Linked DNA regions of Oreochromis niloticus. The protein of the gene in region 1 interacts with the protein of each later gene in a pairwise test. Links are inferred from orthologs where the notes say so. Each region holds a gene or a part of one and is shown in the gene's direction. Other genes may lie near its edges. The genes, in order: siah1, ctsk, numb and rad51ap1.

What was found.
Region 2: the proteins of siah1 (region 1) and ctsk interact in a two-hybrid assay, tested with the Homo sapiens proteins (2 studies listed by BioGRID). The link is inferred for Oreochromis niloticus from reciprocal best matches to the Homo sapiens genes SIAH1 and CTSK.
Region 3: the proteins of siah1 (region 1) and numb interact in a two-hybrid assay, tested with the Homo sapiens proteins (2 studies listed by BioGRID and IntAct). The link is inferred for Oreochromis niloticus from reciprocal best matches to the Homo sapiens genes SIAH1 and NUMB.
Region 4: the proteins of siah1 (region 1) and rad51ap1 interact in binary tests that used the Homo sapiens proteins (3 or more experiments, as listed by UniProt). The two-hybrid records come from large-scale screens. The link is inferred for Oreochromis niloticus from reciprocal best matches to the Homo sapiens genes SIAH1 and RAD51AP1.

The regions. Positions count from the first base shown.
Region 1 is NC_031972.2:63,381,559-63,389,728, forward strand, and holds the start of siah1 (E3 ubiquitin-protein ligase Siah1), read left to right. Parts: upstream 1-5,158; 5' UTR 5,159-5,336; intron 5,337-8,170. UniProt on the Homo sapiens protein: E3 ubiquitin-protein ligase that mediates ubiquitination and subsequent proteasomal degradation of target proteins.
Region 2 is NC_031976.2:31,037,957-31,045,868, forward strand, and holds the start of ctsk (cathepsin K), read left to right. Parts: upstream 1-4,877; 5' UTR 4,878-5,038; intron 5,039-6,626; 5' UTR 6,627-6,627; coding exon 6,628-6,750; intron 6,751-7,912. UniProt on the Homo sapiens protein: Thiol protease involved in osteoclastic bone resorption and may participate partially in the disorder of bone remodeling. Displays potent endoprotease activity against fibrinogen at acid pH. May play an important role in extracellular matrix degradation.
Region 3 is NC_031983.2:21,447,985-21,455,439, forward strand, and holds the start of numb (protein numb homolog), read left to right. Parts: upstream 1-4,252; 5' UTR 4,253-4,403; intron 4,404-7,455. Other genes in the region: galnt16 (polypeptide N-acetylgalactosaminyltransferase 16), read left to right, coding at 1,403-1,546. UniProt on the Homo sapiens protein: Regulates clathrin-mediated receptor endocytosis. Plays a role in the process of neurogenesis.
Region 4 is NC_031981.2:14,194,311-14,202,262, reverse strand, and holds the start of rad51ap1 (RAD51-associated protein 1), read left to right. Parts: upstream 1-4,821; 5' UTR 4,822-5,088; coding exon 5,089-5,105; intron 5,106-5,209; coding exon 5,210-5,256; intron 5,257-6,239; coding exon 6,240-6,369; intron 6,370-7,903; coding exon 7,904-7,952. UniProt on the Homo sapiens protein: Structure-specific DNA-binding protein involved in DNA repair by promoting RAD51-mediated homologous recombination.

The DNA.
Region 1 (8,170 bases):
CTCTGAAACGGCTGTAAAATCATCATGAAACTTAAACTGGAACTGAAGAAAAAGTATAATAGATATTGAAAAGATAAATACAAGTTGAATAGTTGAATGTCTTGTCTTCGTTTTAAAGTTTGAATGGTGGATCTATGTCAACGTATCTGGAAGTACATACAGTTTAAAGAGGAGTAAGTTGAAGGAGAATTTGAAGGGTCTCCCCATTGAAATACATGGGAAATTTTTGCTGAAAAAAGTTGAATAATTTTAAAAATATAAATGTTATAAATGAGAAAAATACAAGCACACTTGTCCAAAAGAAGAGGAATCTAATGGTGTTTGAATGGTTTTTCTAAGTTGAACGGTTTTGAAGGAGATAGATGCACAAAAACGTACGGAATATGATATAATAATAATAATAATAATAACTAGAAAGTGCATTTTCTGAAGAAACTGCAGTGTGAATGCTTGAATCTGAATGTATGCACTGAAATGAATTAATTGCTGAATTTTAAGTTAAAAAATAATAATGTTGAATGAGCTGGAAAATGCAGAGTTTTTAACCTGAAAACAAAAGTGCAGAACTTTTGAAAGCTGATGTTCACACAGAAGAAGTTGGAAAATAGCTGAAAAGTTTTTAAATTAAAATTTCGAAAACCTAAGAAATGAGAACAGAAAATTTAGAGTCAGAAAACATCTGAATGAATATTAAAAGGTCATATTCTTTGAATCACTGAATGACTAAAGTGTAATCCCTCCACTTGGATCCACACAGTTTTAAAGGTTTACATCTCTGAGCTTTGAAAGACTTGCTGTTGGAAAGAGAACAACGATGGCTTCGTTTTGAGGGTAAAATGATGGCTGTAGAGCAAACACTGTGGACACAGCAGCAGTTGAAAGACAAGTGTTTAAGATGAATCTTGGCACAGTGAGAGACAGAGCTCGTTAGGCAGGCAGGTGTGAGCCTGGTTGCTATAGTGACTGCACCCAATGGCTCAGTACACACGCACACAGACATGCACCTCACTTTTGCTGCTTAAAATGAACAGAAAAGTCAGGCCGAAACAAATCCTTCCCAAATTAAAAGTACAGGTCCTATTGACGAAATTCTTTCACCGTGAGCGGCAGCAATGTCCAGTCTACCTAATTCTCAGTTTTCATGCCTGTGGAGTTTATTATATGGACGTGGTGACAGTGTAAAGACACCATGCTCTTCTGATTTTCAAACGAACCTTCTGAGCCATTTTAACATTAGAGTCTATGGAGGAGTTGGAGGGAGGAGGCTGTGCTTTGGTGACATTTATGAAAGAACCATAACACCTAGTACAATAGTAAACACATTGGATGAAAGAGGACAGCGATGGCTACGTTTTGAGGGTAAAATCAGACCTGTAGAGCAAACGCTGCGGACACAGCAGCAGTTTTAAAAAAGATTTTAGGATTAATTTTTTTGCTCCTCTCACTCTGGCAGTTGAGCTGTCTCACTCTAGCCCCAACATTCCGTCCCATACACACCCATTATAAACTCTGAAACGGGTGAAAAAACATCATGAAACTTAAACTGGAACTGAAGATAAAGTATAATAGATATTGAAAAGATGAATAGAAGTTGAATAGTTGAATGTCTTGGCTTCGTTTTAAAGTTTGAATGGTGGTCCTATGTCAACGTATGTGGAAGTAGATACAGTTTAAAGAGGAGTGAGTTGAAGAAGAATTTGAAGGGTCTCCCCATTGAAATACATGGGAAATTTTTGTTGAAAAAAGTTAAATAATTTTAAAAATATAAATGTTAAAAATGAGAAAAGTAGAAGCAGTCATGTCCTAAAGAAGAGGAATCTAACGGTGTTTGAATGGTTTTTCTAAGTTGAACGGTTTTGAAGGAGATACAGTACAAAAAACGTACGGAATCTATAATAAAATAGAATAAAGATTAGAAGAACAATACTGTGAATGCTTTTACAAGCATTCACACTAATAAAGATTACAACAACAATACTGTGAATGCTTTTACAAGCATTCACACTAATAAAGATTACAACAACAATACTGTGAATGCTTTTACAAGCATTCACACTAATAAAGATTACAACAACAATACTGTGAATGCTTTTACAAGCATTCACACTAATAATGACATTAATCCACTGTAAAGCTATTTGCTAGCCACCAGATTCATGACTGCAGCGGCTGGTGAACTGTTGACATGAAATTCGTGATGTTCAGTGATATGACACTGAATTTCTTAAAGCTTCTTGGCTTAAGACAACTTGTATGCACTTTCACTGTGTCACAGTTCACTTATCAATACACATGCAACATCCATTTCTTATGATACATTTTGAACTTTTGCAAATCCACAAAGTTTAACCAGCACATGGGTTGGGATGGTGAGGGGCTGCAGAGGTGTGTGCCTGACATGGCCAAATTAAGTCTATCCTCTTGTAAAGACATCATACAGAGCTGAGAGTAAAAAAAAAAAAACTACCTGAAATTGAGTTTCGAGCAGTTTGAAGTCTGACTTTTTTAGCTCATGAGGATTTTTTATAACTTATACTTAAGTTTAATATTAGTAAACATGACTGTCTACATGAAACATTTCACAAATCACAATTAAAGAAAACTGAAGAAAAATAAAAAATAAAAGGGAATTAATTTCACACAAATTTGTTTTACATTAACCTTTGACATTCAGCTAACTTTTGCCTGCTGTTAGCTCGACATTTTACACTCATTTACACTATGATCCATATCTATGCCCAATTTTGTATCACCGCTCAACCTAACATGTATGCCTATGGATTGTGGGAGGAAACCCGAGTCCTTTCACAGGGAGTACATGCAAACTCCAACACAGGAAGGCCCCACCTGGCTGGCAGATTAAATCCTATAATGCCCTTGCTGTGAAGCAACATCACCTCTAACCACCACCCCTTCACGTTTACCATACAGACATAAGAGTGGTATTAATCTTCTTATCCAAGTCCTGCCAAGCCAGTAAATACGTGTATTTCTCCCAGATGTCCTTTCAGTGGTTTAACTAGACAAGCAGGCATGGAAGGTATATTGTAAACAATTAAATCTTCAGACAAACATAAGAGAGAAAGTTCTTGCACCACAGGTGGCATGAGAGTAGCAGCAGCATCAAAGAGACAATGCTTCAAACACCATCCGTGCTTCCAGTCTATGCAATGTATTTGCACTTTCTAGTTCGCTCATTCCAGTCAGTCAACATGAGCTGGAATTTAGAGGATGGGAGTTTAACTCCAGCCCGGTCAAGGTTTTCCACTTGACTGGGCTTCCACTCAGCAGCAAACAAGTTTTCGGAGAGGATCTTGGCCAATGCACAGCTACTAGCTTGCTTTGATTTCAGCATAACAATCTACTGCCAAACAGCATTATGTCTGGAATGTGCTGATGATTCTGCCAGCTCTCACTCACCCATTTCCTCTCCCTCGTTTCTTTTAACACTCCCCCCTTTCCCACATACCCCTCCCTTCCCATCCTCTGTCTCCATACTCTTCTCCCATTTGCATTACATTCATTATCCTTGTCTCACAACTTCCTTCCTCCCTTTCTCTCAAACTCTATTTTCTGCCTCCCCTCTCCTCTTCAAACTATCTCTTCCTTCCACATTTCTTTTCAGAGTCTTCCCTCCAATCTTTTCTCATTCTCACTTTGCTAAAGAAAAAAAACTGTGCATGTCGTTATGTCCGACCAAGAAATTCAAATTCCTCTAGCATACCAGCACAGCTTAACATTCTCATTGGTTTGGATCGCCCCACTTCCTCTTGTCTTCCTCCCCAGCCCCTCTCCCACATTCTCCTTGGTGCTCTCTCTGTAGTTTCATTCCTTTTTATTTGCTTGCTCTATTCCTCAAATTAATATAAAGAAGTGGGCTTAATGAGTGTCTCCAATGCATTCACAATTGGTAGATCGTTTTTTTCCTAGCTAAATGATGAAAAAAGGGACATCCTCATAATTGACCAAATTCAGACATTTGACATCCCACTGTCTTTTATTGTCTCTTTATAAAAATGTCATACCCTCTTTATATTTCTCCAGTACTCCGTATTTTCTCTTGAGTTCTGTTTCTACAGTAACTGAGAACTGAGCAGAGATACTCTTTTGTGGTTTTTGTTTAGAGAAGAAGTGTGCATGTGATGTATATGTGTCCAAAGTAAGGTGTCATATTTAAATGCATGTGTGATACCGTAAATGTGAGAAGTTGTGTCTGCTGTGCATGCAATGATGGTGTACTTCATATATTTACAAAGAAAATGTGTTGCACGCTGCCCGGTTACAGTAGAAGGCTTACAGCCACTGTTCACAGGAGGACAGCAGGATTATTTACAAAAGTCTGCTCTTTCTCTTACTTTTCTTGCTGTCTGAGTGTCTCTCAGCCTTCTGTTTGCTCCTGCTGCAGCTTGCCTACTGGGACAACGCACTTACATAACCAATCATTCTCTGTAATCCCAGTCTGTGCAGCAGCTCCTCCCACCCCCACCTCACACTACTATTTAGCTCCCCCTCCTACCCCTCATCCCTCCTGATGGTAGGTGGCTGTGTGTGTGTGTGTGTGTGGGGGGGGTGGGGGGGCATGGTGATGGCTTTCCTTATGTCCAGATTGCTATGAAAGAAACAACATGACCTCTAAATCTTAATCCCAGCCAGTTACATGTGTCCAGCATCAATACTGACCTCAATCTCTGCTATACCTGTCCAAAGTCTCTTTTTAAAACCCGTTGTTATTTTTTTTTTTCATTAAAACTGCTGATTTAAATGTCCAATTTCTAAGGATTTATCTGTGGGACTTGTTGGTTTAAGCATATGTGCAGTTTCCTTCACTTACATTATAGCGGAGAGGCAAGAGATCAAATTCAGTACAGATACAAGATGCAGGCGAATAGTATAATGAAGTGAAACTAAGATGAGAACCTGCTAGACGAGCCTTGATTTTAAGGAGTACAAGTGTGAGCATGCGTTGATACTCGTTGTGAACGGTGAGAATATTTTCATTTTACAGTGTGAAATAGCTTTAAAAGATATGAAGTAAATTGTGTGGGATGCATTCATATATGCGTATATTTATTTTCGTATTATTGTTTTTATTATAAAATTGAACCATTTAGAGCAACCTGCAATTCGTGCAAGGCGCGCTCCCGTGGCAAACTTAACTGTGCGCGCTCTGGAGCGGCTGGTACTTAACGCCTGCCGTCTCGTCTCTGTTCCAGGAGCTGTGCCAATGTGTACATCGAGCAAACGAGAGAACGACGACAGAGAGGGATCCTGTGTCTGTCCTGGTGCCACACATTCACCTGTTTCTCCGTGGTGAACTGAAGGACAGTTCTTTCGAGGTAAGCGGGTGTGCCGCAGAGAGTGAAACATCAGATTTTCGAGTGGCGTGTGTGTCGGTGAAAACAACAGCCCCGTTGTAGCAGACGCTAGCTTCCTTCGTTAGCGCAGTGCTAATAATGCTGGCGGGTAGCTAGCCTACTGTCCGGCTTGTTTGCTGATCTTTTAAACGCCTCTTGCCTGCAGTGGTTAACGGGTTGACATGCGTAGCGACTAAACGTTGTTGTTAACGTTTACTAACTGGTGTGAGTGGGGAAAAATGGAAGGGTACCGCTTCTTAGCATGTTCACACACCAGCTAAGCTAACAAACTCACCGACTAAGCTAGCTAGTAAGCTGTGGGATACTGCTTTACGGCAAGACGAGGCCTGTGTGCCTCGTCTTGCACACAGGAAACTGTTTGCTAGGATACGCCGTTGTCTGCCTTGCAAAGACAAGGCCATTTTGCTTTCAAAGTAGGTTAGACCAGGTCAACAGAAACTCGTCGTGGCATTGTTTTGTGTAGCACTGTTGCTGGCATAACGGCTGTAGAGGAAGTGATGACTAATGTTTACTCCAAGTAAAGGTTACAGTCGGAGTCGGCGTGTTTGACTTGTCTATTATAAGACTAATGTCAGCTCCTGGTCGTTATTGATTATTAAAGGGCTCTAATCGCCGTTGTTACATGTTCACTGCAGTTTGCATTCAACGAGCAGTTGTTGAGCGGATCACGTAGTCCTTGACGTGGACACCTGTAGATGAGTTATGAATTAGGCTGGGGACAGATGCACAGTGGTATTACAATATGACCTTTCGCTGAAGTTGTATTAAAAAAGCAAACCTCCATATTGATCACAGTTGTTACCCTACTTTACAATACCTCTGCTCAGGCTGGATGGATCTAAGCCGAGGTCAATAAAATAATAAAGCCATACCACTGTTTATGTAGCACTTTGCATACAGACTCGGAGTCCATAGCTCCTCACAGAGTAAGACGAAATAAAACGAAAATAAATTTACAAATTAAATGAACCTAGACAAAGGGATGCACAAGTTGTAAAACTCTGGGATTGTATTACAAAAAAAACAATGTGGCTGTTTAATTCTTTCAGCTTTTGACAAATTAAATACTCTCTAAACACAGACCTCCAGCCTCCGAAGTGCTGGACTTGTGTGTCATGCTTGAAACAGTATTTGAGATTTTACAGTAAGATTACACGGCAGATGTCAGTCTGGTCAGGTGTAGGGTCTCATTATCTTGAGATGCAAATTATTGGAAGTACATGATCTGCCCTGCAGTCGGAAAAATATGGTCTTTTCAGCATGTTATAAACATGAGAGATGCAGGTGTTGATTGGGAGGTGGGAGTCTGTTCCATTGCCTGTTAGTATTTGGAATTGCAATACAGGTTTTAATAATTGCAAATTGTATTTAAATATCTTCTTTTAGGATGTGGTTGATTTTAGTTCACTATAATTAATCTCCCCTCTCCTTGAAAACCAGTTATTGGGCTGCATTTAGAGGTTAGGTTAGGTACAAGTTCTGCATTGTACCTTAAAAACACTTTTTTACACACTGAAATTTTGCTTATTTTGCTGCAGACCACAAAATCAGAGTGAACCTTTTTCTTTCAGAGACCTTACACACCCATATGTATGCACTCAGCTGTTTTAACTGGTTGATAAAGTTTGTCCAGCTATAACGTGTCTTTAGTCAGTCTAACTGCATTTGGGAGGGAAAAGAAATACAGCATGTACACATGTATGTACGATCAGTCTTGGTTTCTGCTGATTGCCACAGCTAAGTGTTGGTTGTATGTAATGCAGCAGTAGAGATGAACTTGTTTTGACCCAATGGTTTTCCATAGCTTTCAGAGAGGCTTAGTCACTTGGTAGTGTAGCCCCAGGGTGGTTTTTATATGTGGATGAAAGCTGACAGATGCCAAGATGAAAGGATTTATGTCACTGATAGAAAGACTCATCCTTGTGAAATCCTAAAGCTCATTAAAATGCAAGAAAATAAAAGCTTGCTTTTTCATCTTTCATTTTACAGACTGTATTTAAGAGGTTACATCTGGAATGGGTTTGTTTATTCTGACCAATGTAAAATATTGTTAAATATTTCTTTTATCAAATCTCTAATGCAGTATTTGCTCTCAGTGGAATAGCACTTGGAGTTAAAGGCAGGAAATGTCTGAACCATCTGACCACTATGCAGCAACCAGCCATTGTTAAAACGGTGACAGAAGTGGATGTGTGGCCAATCCCTCCTGCCTTGCATGCACACGCGCTTGTTAAGGAAAAAGACTACAAACTCTATGGGATTTTTTTTTTTTTTTTGTTTTTGTTTTTTGATGACCAAGGAAACAACCTGCAGCTTATTGTGTTAGCTTACCCGGCGAGGGTTCTGCTTGTTGGCTCAGAAAATTCTCAGATGCTGGTGCTTTGTTTTACTGTACTCATCATCTTAGACACGACAGTGCCAGGTTTCCACCACAATACGTTTGGTAATCAAACATGATGATGACTGTCGTTGTGTGTAACCCTCAGCTTCAGCTCGACATAAGAAGGAATTTCCTTTTTAATTCTGCCAGTTGTCTTTAGGGACAGTCTTTTGTATTTGACTTCTGAACTGAGGATAACGTAACCACGTATGTGTGCTCACGGGCAATGTTGTAGGGGCACATACTGCTTGTTCTGATGGTTAAACATATCTTCACTGTGAATTCTAGTTTCCCACAGACTTTCCTCAGGTAACCCTCCCAGGTATGTTTGCCAGCACATTCCTGCACTCAGTATACTTGAAAGGTCAATTGCTGCTGACTGCCTTACCTCAGTACTTTTACTTGCAGTGTTTCC
Region 2 (7,912 bases), on another chromosome or scaffold:
CAAGAAGCCACCAGGTGGCACTAATTTGTTCCCACTATTACTTTGCTATTATCTTTCAGTGTGTTGCATGAGCTATACAGATTGTGCTGAAACATATTGGCTTCTTTCATTTGCAGCATGTAATACAGGAAATTTGATTTAACACTCTTGGAAAATTATTCCTATTATTATAGTCGCCAGTATGTGACTCTTCTGATCAGAAGAGTCACACTCATCTCTGTTCTTGGTGACATAAAAAGCCTAATTTACATTAAAAAAATGGATCAAATTCAGAAACAAAAATGGGGACTATTATAGCAGGGAGCTTTCATACAGTCACAAGTAGCAAAACATGCAGACCAACAGCTTTAATATTTACGAATTTACTAATTAAGGAATTCTAAAAATGTAAGTATGAAAAGATTTTATTTTGTGACCAGGAGCAGTAACTTCCTGAAGTCTTGGCTTCACTCTAGGTGCTGAAAATCCATCAGAAACAAATTTTCAGAAATACCTTAGACAGATTTGACAATTCTAGAAGAATAGTAGCAGTAACACAAAGATGCACCTGGTTTCAGGCCACTACTCTTATTTCTAGACAGAATTATACAGCAAAACTGAATGGCAGCTTTTAGGGCATGACAAATATCTCCTCTTCATTTTTAATGTAAAACACAGACACTCGTATTTTCATAGAGAAATCAGGACATGCATGGCTCAGACAACAACAACTCAGTATACACGTAATGGTTTTTTTTTCCACTATAAACAATTTGAGCTTGGAATGAAAAAAGACAACACCGTCTAATCTGTTGGAATCAAAACAAGCCTTTAAAACCTCTTTGGTGTCTGCGGCACTAATCTCTGAACTGGTCAATGAAAAGTGCACACAGTTCAGATGAGAATTTAAAGCCTCTTGGGCTTTCTCACTAGATTGCCAGGGGAAAAGAATCTGAATGAAGCCTGATTTTCTATGGTGCTCAAATGCAATGGATTTCAACAAGTAACAGCATTAGGGGCATATAATCTCTCCTCTGAGAGCCATATACATGCATATAGAAAATGAGATGTCACTCAGCTTACTCTGCAGTACCTAAACACTGTGATGTAAGGCTATTTCTTGCTATTACAGAGCCAGTTCAGTTTTTGTAATGGCAAAACCCAACCCTATCCCGTGATGGTGTGAGTCAGGATCATATGAGTTGCAGAGGATTCTGGGAGCTAAGCTGTTTCCAGTTTTGCGGTGGGTTGTGAGTATGTGCTGAGATGGGAAACAGATGTGACCTAATAGGAGAAGAAAAAAAAGAAGACAAGAGGAATTTACTGCTGAGCTGGGCCTCAGAGTACTTTTCACTGTTCAAAACAAAGAGTCAGACTAGAACAAAAAATGGCTGCCAAGTGGTCACATGAGAAAAAGTCATAAATGCAGAAAAGCATTCTCAGCATCAGCCCCATGTGGAGATATTAATAGATTGTTTTAGCACTCAAGAGGAAAAAACAGAGCTATACTGACTGCTAGGTAACCATTTTAGTAAGGAATACCTGTATAAATCAATCTACTCAAACACATACATTTATACACAGGTCATGACCTGCTGCATGATGGTATGCTCCTTGATGCTAAGATGGGGGTTGAGTGCTGCATGGTGGATCAATCAAAATACCGCCCCGTTCATGAGTCTCATTATCTAAAGAGCCAAAGAGGAACCTTTGAATGAAGAGTCTCACAAAGGCTTAAGATGCACTCTCCAGCCTGGTGAAATCCAGTGAGCAGATGTTTCGATACAAAAATATCGATCAGTTAGATAGTGAGCAGTCAGTGATGAAAGCCATTGCCTAGAGCTGCTTGCCTGCACTGCACTTAACACACTAGAGATCTTAACACAACAGGAATCTTAGCACAGCACCCAAGATTGTTCTTGACCTTGAGGAGAACTGAAGCAGCAAAGGAGAGAGCGATAGCTGCATTTGTGCACTGTATGATACCGTCTCCGATTGCATATTGATTTTTTCATGAAGCCTTTGAAATTGTAAATCGTCGGATTCTGCTGAACAAACTCTGCTTATTTAAATTTTCGCTTTTGATATTCATGGCTTCCCTGTAACTAAAATGTCCCAGTAGGTTAAAATCAGTCATGTAAAATCTTTTTTTAAAACTTACGAGTCCCACAAGGCAGGATTCTGGATCATTTGCTTTTTGTCTAATACATGCTCGTGTCATGAATTCAAAACTTGCTTTTGCTTTTGGTTATAATAATATCACTTGATAATTAATTCAAACAAAACAGAGGACAACTCTGAACCTACTTATGTTAGAAAGGAGAAAAAAAAAGAAAAGGAAAGGATGCTAAACATCGCAAACATCTACAAAAATCTTGGAAAATATATTTATTTAAACCAAAAGTCATATTTCAAATCTATCAAGAAAGATTAAAATATATAATATATAGTATATCAAAATCAGGCCAAATAATGCAAAAAAATATGAGTAAATAAATAAGCATATTAAAATAAGAATGGATTACTAAGGGGTGTCACTGCTGTGGACTTGCAATCCACTGTCAGCAGCTTTTAGCTAGATATCTAACAATGACATGTAACTTTAACAAGAGTAATAACAAGAGTAATAACAAGGCAATAATGTGTCTATTTTTTTAATTGTTTGACCTTGTTTTGCCATTTAGCATATTTTTGTGTATTAGTAGTGGCTTAATTGTGGCTTCATCTACTGCTATCAATAATATTAGTTCTTCAGGTCTAGCTCGCCATCAAGTTTGATGTTTTCATCTTAGAGTGGCAAAAAGAATAAGAGGAAACTTCATTTACTTCCAGTGTTCAATGAGTTTAGATTAGATTTTAATAATATTTAGTGTAAAAAGGTGTTTTAGTTAGATATTGATTGAAAAATTATTGTCATTGTCCATCGTATAAATGGATTCATGACCATTCATAGTGTTTTTAGCACCTGAAGATATCCCTCTGTAATGCAATGGCAAGATAAATTATGGGGAGCAAAATCCACACTCGTGGTTCTACATACAAATTGTCTCTTTTCAGCATCACATTAAGCTCAAGCTAACATGAGACAACAGGAGTCTGATTTAAACAAATCAAAGTGGTATCTTAATTTCCTTTATTTGTTTCCTTGCGGTGCTGCAGGAGAGCATAATACATACTTGTCTGATTTACTTAAAATTGCTGAAGCTTCCCGTTGTGCTGGATCATTGTTTTGTACAGAGCAAGGACTTGCATTAAATAGCCAATACTGACGAGGGAATTAAGGAACCAATAAAGATTTAAATTTACATAAAAACAAAACAAGGTAGTCCAGTCATTTATTGTTCATAGCTCTGCACCACAATGTCAGTCGGCCCAATCATATGACATGTTAGCATCTTATAGTTTCACTGCCTGCAAAACGCTTGGTGTGTTTCACATTCAAGGTGGCATAAATGTATATTTGTCCAGATCACAAAAACATGATAGACTGATATGTAATGATATGCATGAATAATCATTGATGTATTATGAATAATTCTGTATGAAGAGACTGCACTTGTAATAGCAGTTGTGATAACATTAGTGCTAGCAGTTGTGTTAGCAAGGCTTCTCCATTGAAAAATGTTTTATTGTTCATGCAGACATGATTATACGTCTGATTAACTTGCAGCAACGTGGACATGTATCACTGGACATCTCAGCTGCACGGGATGCTCCTATATTTAATTCACTGTCTAGATATGTGCTAGACAACAGTATGAGTATAGGAGTCATAAGACACATTCATGTATATACACACATGACTAACAGCAAGAGGAAGTACCACCAAAAAGACAGAAATTGGAGCAAATACAAATATGGCAAAGACCTATTTGGATTCTGCTGTGGGAATTTTTTTTAGCAAGCTGCCACTCATGATCAGGTTTCACATGCTGTGTTCTTGTATAATTAATCTAAAATCTAAAATAAGCACGTTTGGTTTTTATTCTTCAAGTAGAGAAATAGTTTTCCAGTTACACACAATGAACATAAAAGTGTTTGTTTTAAAGACGTTACTTCAATAAAGGCATAACTGTTTCAAAAAAATCAGTGGAATATAGTAGCCTTTATAGCCTTTCCACACCAAGTGTCAGAAGGTTCTGAGACAATGTTCTGATGAAAAAATTTCAGCATAACAAGAAACAAAAGAAATTGCACTGGAAGGGTCTCTGGAAATCTTCAGCAACAGGCCTGAAAAAAAAACTTTGCAAATATTTTGACTTATCGTGTTGGTTTGGTTCCAGTGATATTCATAATGATCATGCTAAATGCTAAATAAATAATAGCAGTACTAAATGTGCAGTGCAGGAGATGACATGTTTTCTTGTAACAGCCGCTGCTGGTGCCCACCGTCAAATTATTTTTAGTGCAAACTGTGTGACCCAGTTTATTGACTGACAACCATTACATTGTACACACTTGTACCATACTGTTTTTTTCCATGTGCCTTTTTTGCTGCATCCTTCCTTCTTTCCTTCCTTTTGGAATAAAAATGTCTTTGCTCAATAATTAATCACTCAGAGGCCCATCCATTTATCTATGTTAACCTAGCATTCTTCTTCTTCTTCATGAGTTAGAGTAAACGTGAAAGCAGACTAAAAGGTCACTTTGAAAAAAAAAGGACCTGGAACTTGGCCTTTATTTATAAGTCTAACACTGATTACCTTTTATAGCAGAACATTGATTTATATACATGGCCATGCTTTGTACTTTGTTCAAGAATCAAAGCACCTCTGTTGTTCTTCAAGCAGTAACCCAGACTGCAGCAGTGCAACATCCTCTGTGGAGTTTTCAGACATGCCTCTGTAACCTGACACCTGACATCATCCGGTTTATTCAGTGAAACCAGATGTAATTTCCCTCCATGTTAGAAGAAAACTCCTCCCCAGACCTGGAGCTCCCATTGTACTTCCTCAAAATTCAGCCGATATAAACTCGCCCACTGACCTACTTCAGCAGCAGAGGAAGACCAAGTCAAACTCAGAAGAATTCTCCGAGCTTTTTGACTTTTGGACTTCAGGTAAGTTTGTTTACTGCTGATCTCCCAACACTCTTAACACACAGAGTCTTTTTTGCTGTTTTGTGCGTGTTGTAACCTTATTGTTTTAAACTTTAAATCAGTTTGAAAGAACTGCAGCTTTCTGATATTTTACTATTTAAGTAAAAACATCTCAGCTGAACTGAACTTAGACATGGCTCTTACTTAATTACATGAACTGATTTTCAAGACTTTGAAAGAGATTTTTCCATAAATGTAGGTTCAAATATATGCATAACTTTTCTGCAGCTAAGAAAGTAATTAGTCTTAAAAAAGATTAGGATTACAGAACAATTTTGACCCAAATGCACATTAATAGATTCATTCTTGGAAGAGGGAGGCAGGGAGATGCAACATTTACTGGCAGCCAGTTTGAGTTCTGGAAAGTTTGACATACCAATGCAAAAAAAAAAAAAAAAAAAAAAAAAAAAAACACATCCGGGAATGTGAAAAAAGTCATGAATGCTAATGTTTTATGCAAAATATAAATTTATTTTCAAAACATAAGCTACCACAGGGAGAAGTCTTGTGACTCATACACAGCATTGTGCACATATGCTGAATTACTGGCATGTATCATGGGATTGCACTATTTAAAACATGGATTTTCACCCAAAGGTGAAACAATGCTGTGTATAATCCATGAGTGTAGGAAGCAAGAATCAAAGAGAAAAAGAAAACAAAGCAAAAGGAAACATTGTTTTCTGCTCTTAGTTAAGAGAAACTCCAAGGTCAGCGACCTTTACTGGAAACAAAGCCCACAAATGCAGATTAGAAGCACAATGTATTAAAATACAAGGGGGACTCAGAAAGCCCAAGAAACAAAGGCAGAGAAAAAATTTCACACTGCCTGGACTTAAAAAATCCACAGTTAAAATGTTTGAATCACTGATGAGAGCAAGAATGAAAACATTTTTTCAGTGGAGTTCAGTTGTGTTTGAGACTTCATCCTGTAGCTGTTATTCACATGTTTGCTGTCAAACTATATCCAGCATTGTCCGGTCTGACCCTGAAAACGAAAGTGAAAATTGTTGAAAATCAGATAAAAATTATCCTGAGAGTTTCCTGTCTCAAACCAAAACATGGCATAGGGGTTTGTTTCCCAAGAAGTGCAACTTGTTGTCGTTGTGGCATGATTGAGATAATGAAACCAACCACATGATAGTAAACCCCTGCAGAAGCACAATGCTTTCACTGGATTATAGGAAAGCATATATATATGCATATAGATGTAGATATATATATATATATATTAGCTTTTAGCCTTATGACAGTCGAGTGCAGACAAGAAGGTTATAAATGAAGAAGTGACCTGATTCAAACCTGAGCCTCTCCAGGAAGTTCACATGGTAAACTGTTACTGAACAGGAATTCTGACTGTAGTTCCTCTCTTGGACTCCCATAAATGGGCCTTAAGAGATTATGATAACATTGTGATATTTAATATGCATACACATACCCTAATTATAATGTTGTAAACATGTAAACAATAAAACTTTGTTAATAAAAAAATTTCTGGGTTTGGTATAAAAAAAAAACGTGAAGGTTTTTGTGTTTTTTGTTCTTTTAGGATGTTGCCACTTGTGTGTGTGCTGTTGCTGGCTACCTCGGCTCTGGGCCGTTTTGATGAATCCTCTTTGGATGCCCAGTGGGAAGAGTGGAAGAGCACACACAGGAGAGAATACAATGGCTTGGTGAGTGTGTGTTACTATTGTTTTAGAGTTAAAATCAATGATAAAATTAAGAGATAGAAATAGCACAAAAGAAAACTTTAACATAAGGTAGGAAATATAAAAATTTTGTTTTTAAAAAGCAGATGCTTCTCAGATGTTTGATTTTTAAATCTGATTTTCCTGAAAGAGGACTTCTACAAACAAAACACTAAACCTGAAAACAAAACTGAGAGCAGTATTGGTGAAGCCTTTGGTGAATACATTAATTCTAAAATGAAATAATGAAATTAAAAATATGCACATTTGCTATTGAACATTAGCCATTTTATGCACTTTCCCATCAAATGTCCATATCGCTGTTTCAAAACATCATTGGTTTTCCTTAACTTGCTCCATGACTGCACAACGCTATGTTTGTCTTAAAAAGATGAGAAGAAAAACCTCATCCAGTCCCAGCAACATGTAGTTATTTATAATTTACATAGTTTAATACATTTGCGTACACATGTGGCAAAGACTCATATTTTATTTATACACAGCATGTTCCACATCTTAGCCCAAGACAGGCTACTGTAAGTCTGCAGGCTAAGCTGCCCTTTTTAAGGAAGCTCCACCAATTTCAGTTATTTTAGCAGAAATGCTAACAGCAGATCAGGTAAAGCCACAGAGTCACAGAAGGAAACATCAGCAACATTAACAGGGAAGCATGTCAAATATTCTTCCTCAGTCACACTTTGTTTTATATGATCAGATCAGTTATGTATAAACTGTTGCTGATTTTACCTCCTTACCTGGCAGCATTGGTTGCTCCTCTTCTTTGTTTTGGCTGAAAATTAAACAGACAGAGAAGCTAAACTGAAGCAGGACATGCAATTTACTGTCAGTCCAACTTTCTCATCCATAACCAGTAGATGTTTAGATCCTCCTTTAAAATGACTTTAAATTTTAGTTTTTTTGTTTAGTATAATTCAACACTTTTCAGTTTAAAGGACTAATTCAACAGCTATGGGTATTTAAATTATTATTTAATGATCTTATGAATCAAAAAAATCCTAGCCTATTTTCTAAATTAGTTTTATCGTTAGCTTTTTATGCGTCATATCACCAGAGCCAGAAATTTCTAACAGAGGAAAGTCCTCCACTCCTCTTTCTCGTTTTCTCTGAAGCAAAAGATTTCCTATAC
Region 3 (7,455 bases), on another chromosome or scaffold:
CACTCTTCTAGTAGTTACAGTGTAATAACACGTGCATACACAGACGCGCTCTCTCTGGGATTTGAAGATTAACCCCACATTCACCTCTAAACTTTAATAAGCCTCCATGTGGCTCTTGATATCTGTACTTGGCATTCAGTTCAGCTCTGAGTACTTACTCAGTGACCCAATAAAGGAACCAGTTATACCTGGTGATTTGCAGACATCCTGCCCGAGGGACAGGTGTTTCTGGCAGGCTTTCCTTTCAGCTTTCTTGTCAGATTTGCTTTACACACTGTGATGGTAGAAAACAATATTCGATTTATGGAATATCAGTCAACACCTGGCTTTGTATTATGTCAGTGTTGATGTATATCCTCACTGCTTGTAAGCCAGTAGCCCCTCCCTTGTAGCTAAAATGGCTTGTTTAAGACAGTGGATGAAGTGAGGGGCTGTAAGCCCAGTATTAGAAAAATGAGGATTATTTTGAAACGTCACAGTGCAAACTGACTCCAAGAATAGTGCATCTGTAAAAAAGAAATGAACAAAGTGAATGACCATCTTTGCAACTGTTTTAGTGAAAAAGGAATATTGCTGAACTGCTCAGACTTGGTTCACATGACTGTGCATTATACTTATAATTTTAAAAAAAAGATCAGGTAACCGTGTACAAAAAGAATAAACTGTAAATTTATCCAAATTTACTGGGTAGTTTATTGGTATAATATTGCATATTATGTTTTTAAAATCCTCCTCCACAAGCAACTGAGTAAATGTAGTCATTCTCTATGACATGTATTCAAGGAAAAGTATTAAGTAGTTGAAATGCCAGATTCTTTACTGGACTTTAAGTTATTTATGAGAATAGATGTTCTGAATTAATCTTTAGCTCTGAGAAATGCAGTAACAAATTGAGTCTGTGTTATCTATGATTAAAGATTAGATTCATTATGTAGATTGATTCAGGACACCTTGTGATCTGAGGGCAAAGAATGGTGAAGGTGGGGGAAGGAAAGCAAAAAGAAAAGTTCACTTTTTCACAAATCTATATCCAGATCTGAAGCCCCTTTAAGTCTCCGGAGGTATAAAAATAAATAACTTTACACAGTATATGCACATGACTGAAAATGGCCCCTACACAGGACATCTTATCAGCAGAAACAAATTGTTTCTTCTCTCGTGGGATGGCAGGCTGCCGTGGTCTGCAGCTGGCTGTACAATGATTTTTCCACCGAGAGTGCAGAAAGTCAGTCATTCATGTGATTACTGCAATCCACCCCTGACTCAGTTCATTTCTCACTACTAACATGAACCTCCTGTGCTGATGCACATCATTTATGAGCCATGGATTAACAGGAATGAGTCAATGTGCACGAACATCTGTTAACAAACCAGCATGAAATTATTTTTTTGGTCTTTGCAGAAGTGGAAGCCAAAGGGCACAGCTCTGCAGCACATGGTCAGTGGCCTCTGCCTGGACAGTCAAACCCCGATGGGACCTCCAGTCATTTTACAGTGTCGCCCCCAGATGGCCAGCCAGTCCTGGGAGCCACAAGTCATTACCTGAGCCACAGAGAATGGGAAGAGGGAGAGGGAGGAGCAGATTCTGGACCCAGCCTGCAGAAGGAATTGGGGTGTCACGTCTGCACACTGTTTGTCGCCTTGCTGAAGGATAAAAGTAGTGGGAACTCTACTGTCTTGAAGTCAACTTCTAGCTCCTGCTCATTGTGTCTTGGGGACAAGAGTGCGCTGAAAACATTTTAAGACCCTGTTGAACAAAACATCTAAGGTCTTCTGTGTACAGTGCTTCATCCTTCCAGGATGCTTTAGTTCTTCTAAGTAATCTACGCTTTTCACAGAAAACTGTCACACATCCCACTTTTTCATTTCTGTATCTATTCTGGTCTACATGTTGCTTAAATCTGGAATAGTGAAGATTACCCGTAAAGAAAGAGTGCATAATGTACTGTTGCTAATATGCTGACTTGCACTTGACCCACTCTGAGTCTTGAGGTTTTTGGGCTGTTGAAGCATGTCTGATGACTGTGTGGACCAGGGCAGTTTTATGTGCAGTCAACTAAAATCTGAAAACAAATTTTTTTAATTGTTATTGCTGAATGGCAGTCTTGAAACCACCATGCGAAGCACTGTCAGGAAGATTATTTATTGTTTTTGCATGGTCAGACCCAAAGAATGTTTTTTTTCCTCTGTCTCTACAAGGTTTTATGTAAATATTTAAGGCAGGTAATGGCTTGTTTTGTGTAAAGTTCTCTATATGTTGTTTGAAAAAATAAAATGTGGTAATGGAGACATTGCTGTTGTAGTCATTTGAATAATAAACTGGATTACTGCACCATCACCGCTGTTTTCATCATTTTATAAAACAGCAAAAATCCTTTTTTGCATTGTACATGTTTGCATCCTAATTCACAATGGATATCCGAATAATTACATGGGGCTTATTGTAGCCATTTCAAACTTCATTTGAAGCCTTGGTGTCTACTAGAGTAGATTTACACGATTCACAGTTAAAAGTAATCATTTATTCTTTTGTGTAGCCAAACAACTGGTTTAGCTTCTCTCGCTTTAAGCCTTCTTTCTCATCATTGGTTGCCCCACTCAAACATAAAGTTTAAACAGTGGTTGTTTGGACTCAGTGCCTAACATAACCATTTTTAGACTATCCCCTGTCCTTGGTATCACAAACACTAAAGTGAGTCTGAAACGGAGTGAGCTTTTGGCTCACAGGCATTACTTTCACATACTCTAACCAGATTATTTGAAATTATCCATTTAAATATACAAAGAAAGCATTGCAGATCCACTTTCAAGTCCATTATATTTGAGACATTTATTTAAAGTATATATATCTTTAATATAAAGCAAAAAAATCAAATGGAGTTCTTCAGATGCTGATAGTTTCTATAGATTATTCTGTTACTTGGGGCCAGTGTGAAATTAGCAGTGTATTCCCTTTAAAAATAAGGGCCATGATTAGCTTCAATGTGTGCATAAATAATCTTTTTAATTAGGCAACGCAGTAAGTGGGAAAACGTGTAGACTCCTGGCTACATGACTGAAACCGTCCACCACTCATTACTCACACACACAAAGTGACCACCAGGGGGCATAATATGCTAACTTTTTTTCATTATAACGTTGGTCTCTTCATAGATGGAACCTCATGGTAAAAATAATAGATATACAAAATTAAAATGAATGTAAAAATAAAATAAAACAAGACTCTCGAAGAGTTAAGATAATTAAGGGGAAAAAATCGAGGCAGTAACAACGTGTTGGAGACTGGGAGGTCACTGCTGGGGCACTGTGAAGATTAATAAAGTTACTGTACAAGGCTGCATAACAGGCTTGACAACTTTGTGAACCAAAGTTTTTTTTTTTTTGTTTGCCTCCTTGTTGGTTTCATAACCTGTGAGGACACAATACAAGTTACACTGCAGCTTACAAGGCTTTAAAGGTATGCGAGGAATGCAACTTAATGCTGATAAACTTCTGGCCTTTTCAAGGGGTCAGTGAAGACAGAGGGAGTGGAGGAAGCCTTTAACTGGATGTATATGAAAAGAAACACGTTTCACTCGTTTAAACGTGCTTCGTTTTTGTTATGTGGTGAGAACGTGATGGCCTACACAGGAAGGATGATTGCGGTGAAACTCGGGATGGCACTGCACTGATGCCCTAATTTTTTTGTCGTTTCAGGAGTGACCTCACTGACAGGGTTATATTTGCATATCACCCAGACAATGAATTTGTAATGAAGGTGCTCGTTAAAAGTGGCGCAACTGAACGTTTGCAGTGGTGCCTTACATAGCCTGCTACATTTGAGAGGAAAATAGCACTAATATATGAAATACAAGAAAACCTAATGAGAACATAGGCATACAATTTGATACCTGCTTATATAGAAATCAGCCCCACTGTCACAAAATACGAAAAGTAAAGTGTTGCTTGCAACTTATTAATTGTAACAATAATCCATCACACACTCTTCAGGTCAGATTATAGTAGTTATATATTTACAGGTGCATCTTAATTGGAGCTAAACCCGATAGACTGAAGCGGTGTCTTACAATGTGCTTTCACGCCTGCTTCTCTTAATGACTACAAGACGAACAGCGTAAAGAGTGAAACTCAGCTTCGATCCAGGTTGCACTATCGAACATCGATCACCTTCGATGTACACGCGCCGGCCAATGGGGTCACGCGGAGGCGGTCCGTTGCTAAGGAGGAAGTTTGATTGAGGCTGTGAGTAGCAGCCATTCAGCGGCGGTGGCTGAAGCGATTGGACTGCGAGCGTCTCTCCCGACACTTTCTGTGGAATTTGAATTATTTTGGCACGGCACGGCTCGTGATACACTGGTGACGGCATACACGGGGCATCTTGAGGGTCGCAGCGGTGATCGCAGGTAGGCTGAAAGTGGGCTGTGTGCACTTTGGTAAGCATGCCCGGTGAAGCTTGTTAGCTCACCGAGCTAAGCAGCACTAGCTTGTGCCTCTCTGATGCGGCACACGGAGCTATGGCAGCTCCCATTAACACGGCATTTAGCTCTCTTGCTAACCTAACAAAATAGATGGTGTTAAGCTGTCTAACATCTTTATCTGCTGTTGGAAAATATCTGCTTCTGTCTTGCCGAATAAGCTAAGGTGTTTAAGAGGTATGGCTAACGTTAGTTAAGTAGCTAACGATTCTCAAGTTACCTGGATAACTTTAGGGGGATGGACGTTATTCAGCAAAATGACCTAAGCTCATCGGATAGCTTGCTCCTAGCACACGGTTTGTCACGACATTCACTTACACCCTATCACACGGTTCGCTTGTGTAATACCATTCTTACAAATGATATTCATCGGTAGCTTGGCAGTTTAGTGACTTGCAAGTTTCTCCCCCCCGCCCCCCTCAAAAAGTGTTAATTCACAATAAAGGTGGGTCTTCTTAACACTCATCCATCCAGACAGGTTGATCACCATGACGATACAGACTGTGACTCAGAGTCTTAGCACTCGGAATGTTCTGAAGTGTGATAATGTGTCTAAGATCGTCTTATATGGCAGGTGGATCTTTTCTTGCAAGAGAGATCAAGAAGTCCGCCATTCATGATCAGATAACCATCAGTGGTCAGATTACCTTCCACGTGGAGACTGTACTAAGATAGCCACATGATAGATTGTGTGATAGCCCCAGCAGCACAACCATACGGTTGAAACATCCTGTTTATTGGACGCTAATTCTATTTGGATTCTGTCATTAGGCATTTTATTATTGGAGCAGCGATGTAATTTGTGACCAGAAATAATACACAGGATGAGTTATTTGTTTTTGTTTGGAAAACACAGACGCAACCCTCTGGGTGATCGAGGAGAGGTGCTGAAATCCACTTATTCTGACTGTAAATATCAGATTATAGTAAAAAAGAAGGAGTTCAAAATATGTCCTGCATTGCTTATTTTATTCTGCTTACAATACTAGCACTCGGTTTCAGAGTGCTCAGAGCAGTGGGGGATGTAGTCAAGTGCTATACAGTTTATGTACTTTTTATTAGGTATTGCTAGTACCAGGTTTGACTCCCCTTTTCATTGAGAACAGAAATTCTTTGTGGCACAGATTCATAGGTTGGTTAGGTTGGACATGTTGAATGTTGTGCTCCTCACCTTTCTTCCCCATTGTGATGCTCAGTTTGAACTTGGTCTTGTCAACCAGCTCTCCCAGTTGCTGCCATGTGATCGGCTGATCATTTGTTTGCATTAACGAGTAGTTGATCAGGTGCACCTACTAAAGTGAGTGAGGAGGACATTAGGAGTGCTCGCACATCAGCTGTTGACTGCTGTCAGGCTATCTGCAGGGAAGATGACATTTACTGATGGCAGGGGATAGTTATCTGTTGTGTCATGTCAGTTTTGCACAGGCTAAATGTTTAATGATGGTGTGTTAAAGACCTGAAAGAAGCAGTAGACTTTCTGTTAGATAAGGGTTAGAAAAAGAATGTTAGGGCAGAAAATAAAAGCAAAACAATCAAAAAAGATCTGCCAAATGTATATTTTTAGCTGTGATTTTGAACTGGATGTATCAATGGATTAATTCCTAGAGAAACAGGGTAGTCTTAAATCTATTTACCATATGTAAAAAATCCTCAAAGAACTATAAAAGCAATACAGGAAAGAGAAGTAGTCATTATTGTTATTCATCCCTAGTGGTAGCACAGTAATGACCAGAGAGATGCAGTTTGTTTTGATGTCAGCTCTTATCCAGGGTTTGTTCTGCATTTACAACATTTTGGCGCCCATCAAAGACAATTTAGCCTTCACTCTAAGGAAAATCACCAGGACTGTGATTTTTGTCAATATTTTTTGCTAGTGGTCTCTAAATTACTCAGCCTTAAAATACACATGCAGACTTCTGTAAGGTGAGGTTATACAGACCCTTTTGTGGTTATGTTTGTAGCAGTCTCCAAAGGCTCATTTTGTGTTCATTTTGTGTTCTTTTTGGGGGACTGCTGCTTTTCCCTAACAGAGAGAGATGAGATTCTTTTTCCTCCAAATTTTGAAAGGGATGGCTTAGCTCATCTCACAGGATGAGGGAGGCAAGATTGGCTACCAGCCACCGAACCTACTGTGTAAGTCTGTCAGCTGTTTGGGAGAGGAGGAGAATGCAGGAGCAAGTCTCCGTCCTGAGCTCTGTGATTCACTCTGTGGGAGAATCTAGCTTTAACTCTCAGCATTTTGCTCTCTTCTCAAAGGCGGGGCCTACACTTGGCAGTGAGTTGTACATGTGAATACTGAGTAGTGATGCAACTGCAGGTAGATAAAGTTGCCGTATGATGACGATGCAGTCTAAAGCTTTACCCTGATAGGATGCTGATAGGAGAGTGATAGCTGAGCCTCTTGCTGCTCATGGTGAAATTAGAGTGAATGTCACTGTCAGCTTAGCATTCAGTCCAGCGTTACCTTGATCATTAAGAGATGACTGATATGGCAGATATGTTTTTTGTTTTCATGTTATCGTCAAACAGTCTGGATCAGGGTGATGTGTATGTGTCATCTGAGCCCGTTTCAGTGTTGTTATCCATATCCTGTGCTTTTTGTCAACACCAGTTCTTGGTGGAAGTGATGCAGCCATTAAATGAAATGCTCAGATGTTTACTTATTAAACCTGACTTGCGTGGGAATGCGAGAAAAAGGGTTTGTAAACTCATCTTCACCGAGATGCCTGCAAACCCGATTCTCTTCCAAGTGATTTTTCGTCAGGCGTGACAATGTTATCCAAACGCGTGGGTCTTTTGATGATGTAGATGTGCGAGATTATGACACGACAATGCGGACAATGCTGTCATTAACATCAAACGCTAAAGCGGAATGTGTTTTGGCGCCCTCCTGTTTTACAAGTACCAAAATGCTGCTCCCTAAGAATGCTGCTTGCAGTCTGTAAGTTTTTATTTATAAACTCTAATTGGACAGTGTGAC
Region 4 (7,952 bases), on another chromosome or scaffold:
AATCATATTCGTGCACAACACTATATTTTTTCAATGTTCCTAAAATATCTTAATAGTGCAGAAGCAGTCTAGTTTCTCTTTGCCCTGTGAGGAATGTAAATAACAACACTGTAGTCTCCGCCTGCGGAACAACCATACAGGGGGATGGGTGCAGGACTCAGAGAGCCCCACACAAACTACCACTCTGAGATGCTATAGAGCGCATAATGATGGCATTCACATCAGTGGTTGAGGGGGGGGGAAACTGCCTCCTGACCACTTCCAACTAACAAGCTGAAATTAAGACCACTGATGACCTCACAGATGCCAACTAGGCTAGTAAACCCAACTGGATGCCTTGTTCCAAAATAGCCTAGTAATGCTGCCTAGTGTTGCCAGAGAAAGAAAAAAACAATCATTATGTATTTGTTAAATATGTTACATAATCCACAAATTAAATCTAACAAGGATTAATTTGCATAAGGAAATTAGAGAAACAGTTACTCCAAATTTCCCTTGTCCCTCTGGACCTCTTTACTCATGTCTTTCATGCATAGAGCCAACGGCTGTAAAACAGTTACTCAGTTTGGGCTTTGTTACAGGGTTTGTTATGAACTAGAGCGACTATAACTGCAGTCTAAAATGCAAAATAATTATCTTTATGTTTTACATTTTTGACATTTTAACCTTGAGATTAATTCACAGACTGTACACCACTAAAACATGCAGAAATGTGCAGTATTACCTTTTTTAAAGACAAATTATCATCACACAGCTTAACAATATAAACCCATGTAACTGCCACTAAACTCACTAACAGGATATTTCTACTTTTACTTTAGTTTATGTAACAGTCTTTCCCTCTTTAGTGGTCATGTGACTTTGTTTGGGAACATATAGGATTGGAGACATGGTAATTTTAACTGTAGCAGCATATATTCTAAACATTTCCTACAGTTATAAACGGATGTATATGTGGAGAAGTGCCAGAGAAACGCGACTGTCGTTTCAGGATTAACTTCGGCATTTTAAGAGAATGCAGGGGTGTGCTCAACCTGTCATTTGTAGCGCTGGAATAAATACAATATAAGCATGTATATATGTGTGAATGGAAGCGTTATGTTGTGACCGCAGTGTTTGCATGACTGGATCTGATATTTTAGTCGTGGCTGTAGGCAGTGCTGGAGGAGTTTAGGAATGCGTGACCACAGGGCCTTTTGGCCCCGTGGATGCATGTTCTCCTCCCTTGTCTGGGTCCAAAGGAGTGGACCATCACATCCCTGGTTGTTCCTCAAGGTCCACTGTGTGACAAACCGCAGCCGACAGCCACCCACTCACAAACTAGAAAATGACAACCCTCGGGGCAGCTGCTCTTCTCTTGAAAGTGCAGTAAAAATGGAGTGATTTTACTTTCACTGCACTTTAGAGGGAGCCGTGATTGCTTCCGCCCTGAGTGTGGGCGACTGAGTAGCTGAGGACGTGTCAGGTTCATGTCAATCAGCCAGTCAGAGTCTGTACCTCTGTGAACCAGAAGGCATTATGCTGCCACCTGCTGGTAACTTGTCTGACACGACTGATACTGTCACTGCCTGCAAATAAAGAAGCAGAAATGCCTCCTCAAAGTTAACTTTCATACAAGATGATGGCTAAGATGCAGTCCAGAAACCACAAGTTTCCAGAGAGATGTTTATGATCTGAAATATATTTAGCACAGTTGACAGTTTAAAAACACTTTTTTTAGACCATTTTAAAGATATTACCCACATATATTTTTAAGTAAGTGATGTTTGTTTCTTCATTCTAGTCCCCCGCACACACCTACATCTGCACTTGTGCAAACTTAGGTTTGGCAGCCTGGTACTGTAGGTGTGGAATGAATAACTACTTTAGACTAATTTGGCATATTAAGGGAAGTAAGACATGAGGTGGCAGGTAGCATATGTTACATCCCAAAGTCTCAAAAGCTAAAGTTTCAGATCCTAAAACTTTTGCTTAACTAAGAGCTGATCTTCTGCATTAACCCCGGACTAGACTGAAGCAGTTTCTTGTCTAAATGATTTGTAAAAAAAAAAAAAAAGACGTTTGTCAGCTCTCTGTCAGTGAATTCTCCAAATTGTTGCAAGTGCACTGAAAAAGAAAAAGGTTAACCTAAGACTTCTTTTTCTGGGTGAAAATATGGCTTTTGTTTGCCTGTTTGTCTACTGGATTATAAAATTCACACAAACTGATGGAAAAGTCCAGGTCACTATATTTACTGTAAACCTGGGTCATTTAGTCTTGGGCTTAGAGGACAACTACAATCTTTGATTAGTTCCCGCATATTGAATTTTGGCTTTTTCTTTTAAACCAGATATTATTTCTGAAACAATCCCCAAAGGATTTGTGTCTCCTCCTGCAATCTTTCACTTGTCAGGCAAATATGTAAACAACTACACAATAGAACCACAACTGCAGTCTCTGAGTTCCTTTCTATTAATCATTCCCAAAGATATGATTAGATTCTTTATTTACTCTGTGTAGAAAGTAATTTGTTATATTACTCACTGTAGTTTGAGTTACTCCCCAGCATCAGCTGTCATGTACATGCAAGAGCAAAGATCCACCTTGTAAAAAGAAGGAAATACACAAAATCCTTCTTTTATCATTTAAGAATTATGACAAACAGCAACAGCCAATGAAGAAATTGGCAAAAACCAGCATAAAGAGCCCCTCACACAATAATGTGGTGATAGTGATTCTACTCTGTTAGCTTCTATGTACTACTGTGGGCTTGTTTTTCTTTAAAGAAAACAGTAACACCGGGTCCTGGTGTCTTTCACGACTAATTTTTGTGTATACATTTGAGCATGTTAGCAGTGACTAGTTGTTTTTGCACTTGTCTTATTTTTTTTCTTTTTTTAAAAGCTTGTCTTGACCTGAATGCGATGTTGTTCTAAACACGTTCACTTTCCTAAGATGAATTCTATAATTTCTCTATAGCTCCTTTTGTTTATTTCTTTTATCTGTTTATTTGTTTCTTATTATTATTATTTCTGGTATCACAGAACATATATACAGTAATATGACAATGCCAAAGCTGACAGGCAGGAGAAAAAAGGCAAAGAAAAAAAGAAAGGGGGAGAAAATATGATAAAACTGTCACGGCGAGTGAGATGAGCCGTGTGGAAATAATAAAGGAGGATCCAAACGCAGGCACTTGTAAAGGTGTGAAGGTGGTTTATTGAACACAAAATAAAGATAGACAAACGGCAAACGGAGAATGAACTAAACTACACTGGGAACAACTAACTACTGAACACGAACCTGAACATGAAGGAAGATAGACGATGGTATATGATGGTGACAGCAGGGAGAACACACAAATAGAACATGGTAGATACACAGACGGACCAGCGGCTACTACAACCGAAGACACGACTTAAATACACTCAGAGAAACACAGGGAGATTACACACAGGTGGGGGACACAGCTGGGAGTAATTAACGAGAGGAGACAAGGGAGGTAAACTGAACACACTCACATGAGACGCAGACCTTCACAATAAAACAGGGAACAAGAAAACACTACACAAGGACGCAGGCTCGACACTGAGAGGCAGACAGAATATAGCACATGGAACCTGAACTATACTAAACGTGAGACACAACCAAAGAACAAATCCTTAAACATGAATAAACAGAAACATAGAATTCAAATAATAACCAACAAATCACAAAGGTAGCAAAACGATCATTCAAGAATAAACCAAAACATAATAAACTCAGAATGCTGGGTCGAACCGCCCCAGAACCGTGACAAAAAGGGTAGAGCTCAAACAGAGAAATGCAATGGATCACTTCTGCCACACCTGTAAGAAAAAACATACAAAAAACAAAGATTATCTAGAAGAGCAAAATATGAAAAAAAGACAAGTCTTTGGTCATTTAAAGTAAAAAATGTAAATTAATATATCCATAATTCCACTCCTCAAAAGGTGTAAAAATCAGCGACAACAGGTCTGACTGAGTGATGAATACAATTTGAAATTTTTGGCTCAAATTTTTGGAGCTGTTGTCAGGAGGTTAAGAGAGTGTCCAACAGTGAGCATCTACAACCATCCATAAAACACAGTGGAGGCTGTAATGGTTTTAGGGCTGCATTTCAACCTGTTGGGGATCTTGTCAAAATTGATGTACTTATAACTGCAGAAAAGTACCGTCAGATTTTGCAATATCATCTGAAATGCATCTGATTGGCAACAGCTTAATGTTGCAGTATGGCAATAATCCCGATCTTACCTAGATAGAAAGGTCCTGGCTTTTCATATCCCAGAGCTCGGACTGAAACATTACTGAAACAGAGTGGGACCAACGAAAGACAGCCAACATCCAAAGAAGAGGTCTGAATGTCCTTCACAAAGCCTGGAGAACTATTCCCGAAGAATAAACAAGAAAGGTTGTCCAAGAAAGTTCAGGCTATGTTGAATAAAGGTGCTCATACCAAATATTGACTTTCAAACTCTGTTTTTGCCTTATATACGGCATTTACACACGTTTTAATAAACTGCTGTATCCATTCACATTTTCATATCAAACTATAGATAAAAAATGGGGCGGCACAAGATTTTTGCACAGTACCAAGCCATTTATTATTGTTAGCCGGGCGAAATTAGCAAAGCTGCGCCAAGCTATTTGAGAGAAGCAGATTCGACACCTTAAAAAACGAATTAAAAAGAAAAACAGAAAATTATCTATTGCTCTCTGATTATTTCTGATTTTAAAGATTAAAACGGGCTGCCACAAACGGACTCTTCTTCTGTATTCTTTTGCTTTGTTTAGAAATAAACGAATCTGCTTGCAGTTTCCGTCAGATTGGTAAACAACTGACGTCACTTCTGGTCTGTTCAGGCGGGCTGTTTGAGAGCTTGGGGGACCGACGTACCTCACGTTAAGCTTGTGTAACTAAAGTTATATAGTTTACGGATCTCATTCACGATAAGTGACACCTTAACTTTTTTGTAATCGTGTGGAGATCGAAAGTCAAAGTTTGGTCGACTTCACTCAGCTGGAGGGAGTAGTGCTGATTAGCCGTGTCAATGCGGTTATTGTTAGCTGACTAAAAAGCGAGCTATGGACCGACCATCTAGGTGAGCTACTGCTTTTGTCTATGCCTGGTAAACTAGATCTGTGGTGATGCTAAAAAAATGTTTTTTAATTTATTTTTTTGTTTTTTTTAATTGTTGACACACAGGAAGACAAAGACTGTGAATTACTGTGAGAGCAAGGACTTCGATGATGGTGAGTTAAATTAAAAATCTGTTATCCTGGCCCATTTGATCCACAGTGTGATGAAGAAATAGCATAGCATAGCATGTCATGTCATGTCATCATTTTATAGTCTTACAGAGGCGATGCGTGGATGTAGTGAAGGCTGACATGCATAGGGTTGGTGTGACAGAGGAGGATGCTGGGAATAGTGTGAGATGGGGCAGATCTGCTGTGGAGACGCCTAAAGGGAGCAACTGAAAGTAGAACTGCATACAAATTTAAATAAATAAATTAAAAACTTTATGCAAGTTCTACTGACTTGCTTTATGATAAAGGCTAAATGTGTGAGTGTGAGTGTGTGTGTGTGTGTGTATATATATATATATATATATATATATATATATATATATATATATATATATATATATATATAAGGGAAGGAAGGAAGGAAGGTAAAATACACAAAGAAATGTATGTATGTATGTATGTATGTATGTTGTGGGCAACAGAGTGAAAAGGTGGTGGGCCCCACCTTAAGTGAAGTATTTAAATGTTATAATAACAGGTTGATCTTAAGTATTCAGAATGAGGTTTTTCCACACGGAAGACCATCTTTCTTTCTGTTTTTTGTTTTTTTTGTTTTATTTTGAAAAGGTGAGACATCCACACGCTGTGCCAGTGGGTGTATTGATGAGCACAGAAATATTAACATCTTTATGACGGATCTGTTGGAAATTTTACAGTGATCTTTACATTTTATTTACTTTAGATGTCTTGTGTTAACTTGATAAATCGCACTCACTGCAGTGGTGTCACTTCGTGCAAAACAAAGTGGTGTGATCAGGAAAAGGACATTGCAACAAAAAACGTGCTATTAGATACTGTTGCTTTGCAGAAGACTCTTAAATTCCAGGAAAACCTGTAGTACAATAGGGTGCACATGTGTAATCCAAAGGACTCACTTTCCAGTCTTAACAGTGGTATCTTTGTCATTTGTCCTCATTTTGTGACAGATGAGGATTTTGCCTGTGTGAAGGCCCCACCCAGCAAAAAGGTCAGGGAGGATGTGAAAGAAGAACAGAAGAAATCATTAAGCAAGTCCTCCAGTCAAGAGGCCACCTCACAATCGAGCCAGAAGAACAGGTAGGTGGCGAGTTAATCTGACACTGGCTGTGACAATCAGGCTAGAGGGCTCATGAAACCTGTTGTGAATAAATGTTACCAGTTTTACTGTTGTTTAGTTTGTTTCCAGCAGAGGGCGCACCACTTGTGTATGTCCTGCAATGTGGGGAAGTTATGTTTCAGTCCGTTAGCTATCCATAGGCAGCTACAGGTTACCTATCTACCTGCAGGGGGCAGTGGTGCCACCACTCTGTGGGTTACTCTTGCTTGTGCTGCCCTAGGTTCATCCGCCATCCGCTAAGAATGTAGTTCTAAAGCACAAAAGAGCTGAAGTGAAGCCGAGCATTAAAAATAATCAAGTGTCCACTGCAGCCACTGTCTTTACTTTTCATCTTGTACCTTTGCTTTTCTTTTTTTGTGTTCCTTTGTCGCTCCTTTCCCTGTTTTGGCACACTTCTCAACTCGTCAGCATTTGGTTGATGCACAGTGTCATCCACCTTGAGCAGCATGAAGTGGTCATGTATAGGAGTTCATTTGCATTGGTTACTGTCAGTAGGCAAATATCTTAACAAATAGACACACGCACAGTACTGTAAATGTGTGCAGTGCAGTGTTTCCTTTTAGTTGATCCTCTGAAGTTACAGCTGCTGACACTAGTATAGTTTTTGCTCACTACCAATGAACTATAAGATGCATCCAAGATCCAAAATGGGCCCAACATTTAAGAATAACGTAGTATTTAGGTCAGATTCTTGTGGCTCACCTGCACTACCTTCAAGGCCCACCAGGGGGCTGCAGGCCACACTTTGGGAAACACTGGTCTTGTGGTTTGAAATTCAATTCAATTCAGTTTTATTTATATAGCGCCAAATCACAACAACAGTCACCTCAAGGCGATTTGAGGTGACTGTCCACATTCACTAATGAATTTGAACATTTTCTTATTTTAATCTCAGTCATTGTGGCCCTAGTGATGACAATATTGCACCACATGATGATTAAAAGGATTAAACTCACAGATTTTTGGTCTTTTGTTGTAGGTGTAGATATGATATGTAAAGAAATACCAGTCCAAAAGTAATACTTGGGTCTAGCACCAGTGCATTAATAGATTTTCAAAATGGGTTCATATTTTGTTGAGATGAGTAGCTAAGCTTAGGAGATAAGCAGTGGAAATTATAACTTTGATTTCATCACTGTTAGTGTAGACCGAGAGCTGCACTGGGTGTGCAGTCAGCTTGAAGGTAAGCAGTCACTTTTAAAGAATATACTGCAGACTGCGGATAAATGTTTGGGTTAAAGCCTCGCTGTGATGCTTTAACTCATTAAGGTGGTTGAATAGTAAAGCCATTCAAAGTCATTGATAAAATGATGACTGGCTAATCAGTGGGGATAATCGCTAAATCAAAACAAAATGTTGATTATGCTGAGTTAAATTTTAAAAAATGTCACCGAAAAGTAGTCTTTTCTTTTACATTTTTATCAGTTTTATTCATTAGAAATGCTCATAGGTGAAAATCTCTAACATGGATTGAATCTTGATTCATTTGTGCAGAAAGCCACTGGACGAAAAGCTGTATGAGAGGGATCTCGAAGCAGCCATC